Linked DNA regions of Tribolium castaneum. The main gene of each other region encodes a partner of the protein of the gene in region 2 in a complex. Links are inferred from orthologs where the notes say so. Each region holds a gene or a part of one and is shown on either strand. Other genes may lie near its edges.

Region 1 (3,760 bases), on a different chromosome or scaffold from region 2:
AATTACAATATCTACTGAGAGCAAAAGTATAAAACCAAGCCAAAACTATATACCTTACTAAAAATACGACCAATTAGTATAAAGATGGGATGTTTTATTTGTAGCCTCCCATAAAAAGGAGATTTTTTTTACTTTTTAATATAATCTCCTTGTAGTTATTAGCACTTATAGTCAATTGATGTTTCGAAATCTTTATACTATCCTTGTGGACCGATTCTTGTAACTCTTCAAAAAAACTTTTTTTAGCTGTAATTTCTTCAAACTTTGTTTTATACTTATTTCCAGTGTAATATTTTTTAAGTCCAGTAATAGACTGAAGCTAAATTGTTATACATTGGCGCATAAAATCCATTGGATTGCGTTAAAATAGCTCCAAGCATTGAAAATATCTGATTTTTTTCGGTGAGCTTTTGTGCTCAAAGAAGGAGCAATATGCCACCCATTTTGCCAATTTTTTCTCATACTTAAAAACTGATAAAAGATATGATGTTTGTGTTTTAAAATCCTCAAGGTTTGAACTATTTTATACAACTTTCATTTGTAATCTTCCAATACCGTTCTTTGGATTTTTCTGACTATTTCTGCAGGAGAAGCACTTTTCAACTTTTTTCGACGTGGTGTTTCCTAAGGCCTGTACCTGTATGGCTCAATTGAAACTTTGCAATACAGTTTTAACTATGCTAATGTAGAACCTAACACATTTTAAAAATATTTCTTTACAGTTCGAAACTCAGGTTTCACCATTTCTTAAAAAATCGAAAACTTAGGGCAGCCAATACAGAATTTGATACAAGCTTAGTCACTCTTCGAAAGGATAAAACTACATAAAAATATAATAATTAATGAAAAAAAGTCAACTGCTTTCTATAAGAGACCGCGAATTAGTCATCACATTCTAATCTATAATTTCATTCTAAAATAAATTATTAAATTTGCGTTCCGAGCTCATTACGAAGGTTTTTTGAGCTTGGTCGAAGTAGTTGAAAAAAAATATTGCCAAAACTTCAACTTAAAAATCTAACTCGAGAAGAACTGTATGTTGTGAAAAAATACACAAACAATGTTTTGTCAGTTGGATGTGACTGTCTTACCCAAGAGATGGTTCCGATTTCCCGAACGTTTTAAATCAGCTTATATTGCTTTGAAATTGGCGCCAGTTTATTACTTTTGAGGTCGCTACTGTACGTTCTTAACAGAAATCTGCTTTACCAATAAACTGGAAGTCGAATGACTGAAACCTGTTTTATCGGTACAGTGTCGATTAACTATCACACTTGTCAAAACTTGAAAATTGTCATAATAACAATAAATAGAGAAGAAATAGTGCAAAATTGTACAAGATGGCGAGTAGTTCAAGGTATTTTAGCATAAATAACTTGTTACGATTCCAATTTCAATAATAATGATGTTAACCTCAAATAATATTTCAGGTATGACACGAATAAGGTTTGTTGTAATTCTCATCCAGATGCCCCCCTTATTGAAGATTACAGAGCAGGCGATCAGATTTGCTCCGAATGCGGTTTAGTAGTAGGTGACAGGTAATATTCAAATCAATAAAACGCATCATAAGTTTATTTGCTTGCATCATTGTAGAGTAATAGACGTTGGATCTGAATGGAGAACCTTCAGCAACGAAAAATCGGGGGTCGATCCTTCTCGTGTTGGTGGCCCCGAGAACCCCCTTCTTAACGGCTCAGACCTGACCACAATGATAGGCCCCGGTCGAGGTTTGTTTTATTTAAATATTCCACTCAAATAAGCCTTTAAATTAAAATGTTAGTGAAAAGCTTACCTTTTTGAAATAAGTTACTGTCTGTGCTACTGTGAAGTATTTCAAAACGTTTTGTTTGAATCACGAGAAGGTATTGAAAAAACGAATAAACGAATAAAATGTTTCGTAATGATTGTAAAAAATCGATGACTTGGAAAAAAGTTTTTAATAAGAATTGTAAAGCATAAAATTCTATATATTAATATTCTGCCGAATTTTTTGACATTATTCAAATAAACAGAGTTTAGGGTGGTTGCAATAAATATAAAGGGATGATCTGTACAATTTTAAAAAGTGACTATAAACATTTGATTATTTTGCAAAATTTTCTGCTGCGTTGTAATCCGAAGGTCGTTTTTGTATTGGAAATTGTTTTCATTATGAAAAAGACGTTTTAGCGAAAAAATTACACAAACCTAAAACTGGACAAATCTTGAGTTTACAACCTCGTGTCTTCCTTTTTGATAAAGCTAGAATTTTTTTTCACAAAATTTTCAATTAATGTGGATGTTTACGTAGTTACTTAGTTGAATATTTATAAAGGGAACCCGAAAAAAATACATTTTCTTGTAACGTTGCATATTTGTGTATCGAAATTTTTGAGATGCAAGAAAGTTTTTTTGTTGTATAAGACAAACCTCTATTGAATAGAAATGGAATGAAGCTATTCCAGTAATATTTAGACAACTCTTGATTATTAACTGGCAATATTGCTGACCAGGATACTTGCCTCTTGTGATCGGTTTGAAGTTTAAAAAAATTGGGAAAATTTTGATTTTTAACTGTTAAAATTAAACAAGCCCCCTCTAATAACCCGAACGGTATTTATTGTACCTACAATCCGAACGTTTGAATTTCGTAATCCGAAATACCACATGTTGATTTTAATTCTTGATAGTTGTTTGCAATACATTTTAATTTTGTATTTTTTTATTTTGAAACACTTAACGGTGTTTATAGCCACTGAGTATAATTTTTGTGGTAGGGATATGTATTTGCATGGTTATTTGGTTATGTAAGGTAACTGTAAACCGAACGCGTGTTGGGATTATTGATATTATTTGCAATCTGCAAATTTTCTGTTCGAATTATTCAAACATTACTGTACTTCATATCAGCTTTTGGTCACGAATCATTTCGATATCTGTAATAGTTTTTGAAATATTGGGAAAAATCCACTAATAGAGGGAGCACCCTTTTCAGAGTGTGTAGGGTAGGTTTCTTACGAAGTACTTATCAATACATGTTTATAGGAAACGTTTGTCTTAAAATTGAATGTTCTATCATCTGTTTAAATTCGTAACAATAAAAACGGAACACTCTGTATAAATGTTGCTCTTATTTCTTACGATGGGAAACACATCCAATAATTTTTAATTTCTACTGGCTAATTTTGTCATTGTTAAAGTCTTTCAATAAAGTAAAACCTGTGTGAATAACTTTTAAAGTTATTTGCATGCACAAGATTTTTTTACCCCATATGTGTAAACAAAAAGTAAATTAATTAGAAGTTGTAACATATTACCTTGTTGTTCGTTTTCGTGGTTTCAAAAGATTCACCTTTAACTTCAAAGATAATTGTTGGAATTAGTGCACTTTAAATTAACAGAATTGTATAATGATTGCTCAACGAAAAAAATGTGAGGTCTTTTCTGTGTCCCGTCCGTCATCAATTTGTGTTTCTTTTTCCTGTCCATATTTGAATTTTTACAAATGTGGCTCCTATGTAGGTTGCAAACCGTTTAACTGGTACTAAGTTCCTATAAATAAAAATTCACTTTTACTGATACTGTTCATAAAAACTGAAAATGAAATAGAAACCATGTGAAGTGTCCCGTCCGTTAAAATGGAATGGCTGCTAAAACATACTTTGTTTTTGATTTTCAAAACGTTTTTAACTTATATGTATAGAAAGATGCAAGCTTTTTCCCAAAATTTTGATTTATTTATTTTGACTGGACAACAAAACTTATCACAGTTTGTCTT
Region 2 (3,181 bases):
TTTCAAAAATTAATAATTACACAAAAATGAGGGTTTACTTAATATGTAATTACGAGCCTGAAAAAATTTTTTTTTATATTTCTTTTGATAATTTTAAAATAACAATGTTTAAATGGACTCTGAATTTGGCAGATGAGATATCGAAAAAATAAACTTTTAGCAGATTCATTCCGTATATTTTAAACCTGGGCTATTTGATTATTTCACATTCCAGTTCGTCAAAAGTGCTAAAAATGGAGGCTTACGACGCGGCTGTGCTCTCGTACGCGCTCGCGACCGCGGCCACGAAAATCAAGCCCGGCCTGCTGGGGATAGCCCCCATGTTGCCCCCGAGAATCCCCGACGGCGAGTCGCTCACGCCCCCCACGCGTCACCAGGAAACGGACGAGAACCGCAACTATCTCTACCAGCTTCTCTGCACCGTTGAGCAGCAAATCGTCAACAAAACTGCGGTACAGTTGCCCCAACTGATGGAAATTTGCGCAACGAAGCAGGCACAGGTGCGGCAGCCCCTTTTGTACCAAAATTCACCGCTTTTTGCAGGTGGATCAACAGACCATCGCGTACTTGGAGACACTCCAAACCGAGTTGCGACAAATTTGCAAAAACAACCCCTCAGCCACGCATTTACTGCAACTGCGAATCGAGGATGAGGGGGAACACAGTCCGGGAGTGTCCTTAAATACCGACATCGTCGTGAAAAGTTTGACCGAATTGATGAAACATTTCGGGCTGGTTTTGGGGCCCAATGTTTTAAAGAAGATTTTGTAAGCCTTAATTTTGTAAAAATTTTATATTTTGCCAGTTTCGTTCACGAACCTCATGTATGTGGCAAAAATATTACATATTTTAGCAGATACTGTCAAATTGTACATTTATCGATGAGTAAATGACTATTACCTGACTGAATTGAATTTGGCGGCCCCCCGTAACCTTACTTTTGACAAAATTTGAAAATGGACAAATTATAAAGCGCAAATGCACCCCAAACATGCAACCCACACCCCTGAACCCGGAATTACTCACCTTTGCTGCACCAAACGCCCGGCGGCACTTCTACAGGAAAAATAAATTCGAATTTTGAAACCACTTTGAAAGTAAAAACTGGTCACGTGACTAGTTGTGCTTGCGGTTACAAATCCCGAACACGATTAACATAAATTGGGCAAGCAGTACAATAACTTGCGTTAAAAACCACATGATCCAATACTTCCGTGCTTAGTCATTATTAAGGAAATTGGGGAAAAAAATATTGCATAACTTTCTGGCCCCAATGCCGGGAAGTGTCTCAAGTTACGTCACTCAATTCCCATATAACCCCACTTTTAAACCGCACATAAACAATGAATAATTTGGAGATCCCGGCCGATTCGGCCCCCGAATTCACCTCAACCAGCGAGACTAGTCTCCTGGTGGTAATCGTCGACAGTAACCCCAGCCAGAAGATGCTCCGAGACAACCCCCACGTCCTCACCCACTGCATAGACTCAGTCATAGCGTTCGCCAACTCTCATTTAATGCAAAAGGCGCAAAACAAGCTCGCCGTGATGGCTTGCCACTCCAAGACCAGGTACGTGCCCCCATAACCACCCCACTGTCTTTACCCCTAAACTCCAGCGAGTTCATCTACCCGGGCCCCAACAAGCCCCTCGACGTGCGCCAAATCGACGGCCAGTACGAGGTTTTCACGGCAGTGGAGAAAACAATCAAGCAGAACTTGGCCAAATTGCTGGCCACCGAAAAATCAACTCTTGTGACGGAGTCACTGCTCGCAGGGGCGATCGCTATGGCCCTGTGTTACATTGCGCGGATCCAGCGGACGAAGCCCCCCGGGTGTGTCCTAAACAGCCGCATTTTGGTGGTGACGGGGAGCGGAGACTCCGCCTCGCAGTATATGAATTATATGAACGTTTTTTTCACGGCGCAAAAACAGGGAATTGTGATTGATGTGTGCGCCCTTGACCAACATTTGAGTCTGCTGCAGCAAGGCTGCGATATCACAGGGGGGCTGTACTTGAAAGTCCCGCAACTGCAAGGCCTGTTACAATATCTTCTCGTAAGTTTTGTTTTTTTTTACTTAATTTCCTCATTTTTGCGATTTTTTATTTGAAATAATAAATAATTCTATTAAATGTTTGCTAAATGTTCGCATTTTAAGAAATAAATCACCAGATTTGGTGATATTTTACTAGACGTGGAAACACTGGCGTGTGAAAAATCCATTGCCAGCGTTGCCAACCTTGAATTATTTCCAGTGGGTGTTTTTGCCTGAGCCGCCTATTCGGCAAAAATTGGTGCTTCCGCCCCCTGTCAAGGTTGACTACAGGGCGGCTTGTTTCTGCCACCGGGAGTTAATTGATATAGGTTACGTCTGTTCGGTGTGTTTGTCAAGTGAGTGAAGTGGGCCGGTTTAAGCCCCAGCTAATGATTTTTGTTACAGTTTTCTGCAAGTTTAGCCCGATTTGTACGACTTGTCAGTATGTTTTTTCAAAATTGTGTTATTCGTGGACTAATTTTTTTTTCCAGTACTGTCTTCAAAATCCCAGGACCGTTAGCTGTGAAGCCGAAAAAGCGGAAAATCAAGTTGTAATAAAAATTTTTTTTGTTGAATTTGTTTTATTATTACCCTTGATAATGATAAATGCGCATTGTTTTGATTGGAATGAGGTCAGACGGGTCTGGTATTAATAGTTTCTAGGTCGTTTCTTGCTCTTTATTTACAATATATCATCGTAGTCATGTTTTATTTTGATATAAAATATATAAGAGCACTTTAAGTACTACAGAATAATAAAATATATTGTGTTGAAAAAATGTTAATATCACAAAAATAGTTCAGTCTGATTACCATCAGACGATGCTAACAACTGGAAAAATATGGTTTTCGCTTAATGCCCTACCTAAAGAAAACAAAAATTACAACTAATACTGTAATTTACAACAAAACTATCAACAATATGGCAACTGAATTCTTATCACTTATCACTCAACTAAAGTCGTCACGATGGCCATGACACTGATCCCTGCAATAAGGGCGAGGATCTGCTTGAGTGACTCCCGGGGGTCCTCCTCTTTGAGTAAATCCGGGAGGACCGTGACCAGCGCGATGTGGAGGAACGTCCCGGCCGTGAAGGGCATAATCCACGACGTGCGGGCCTCTGTAATCCAAATTAATCCCACT

Evidence for each region.
Region 1: Tfb4 (region 2) and TfIIB share a complex: the UniProt entries of both Homo sapiens proteins name them as parts of the TFIID-containing RNA polymerase II pre-initiation complex. The link is inferred for Tribolium castaneum from reciprocal best matches to the Homo sapiens genes GTF2H3 and GTF2B.

Annotation. Positions count from the first base shown.
Region 1 is NC_087398.1:13,752,173-13,755,932, forward strand, and holds the start of TfIIB (transcription initiation factor IIB), read left to right. Parts: upstream 1-1,208; 5' UTR 1,209-1,340; coding exon 1,341-1,357; intron 1,358-1,430; coding exon 1,431-1,541; intron 1,542-1,596; coding exon 1,597-1,730; intron 1,731-3,760. UniProt on the Homo sapiens protein: General transcription factor that plays a role in transcription initiation by RNA polymerase II (Pol II). Involved in the pre-initiation complex (PIC) formation and Pol II recruitment at promoter DNA.
Region 2 is NC_087395.1:24,750,863-24,754,043, reverse strand, and holds Tfb4 (general transcription factor IIH subunit 3), read left to right. Parts: upstream 1-1,167; 5' UTR 1,168-1,343; coding exon 1,344-1,570; intron 1,571-1,617; coding exon 1,618-2,056; intron 2,057-2,192; coding exon 2,193-2,391; intron 2,392-2,440; coding exon 2,441-2,477; intron 2,478-2,526; coding exon 2,527-2,590; 3' UTR 2,591-2,610; downstream 2,611-3,181. Other genes in the region: Cdk12 (cyclin-dependent kinase 12), read left to right, coding at 215-500, 544-771; Zip99C (zinc transporter ZIP13 homolog), read right to left, coding at 2,983-3,158. UniProt on the Homo sapiens protein: Component of the general transcription and DNA repair factor IIH (TFIIH) core complex, which is involved in general and transcription-coupled nucleotide excision repair (NER) of damaged DNA and, when complexed to CAK, in RNA transcription by RNA polymerase II.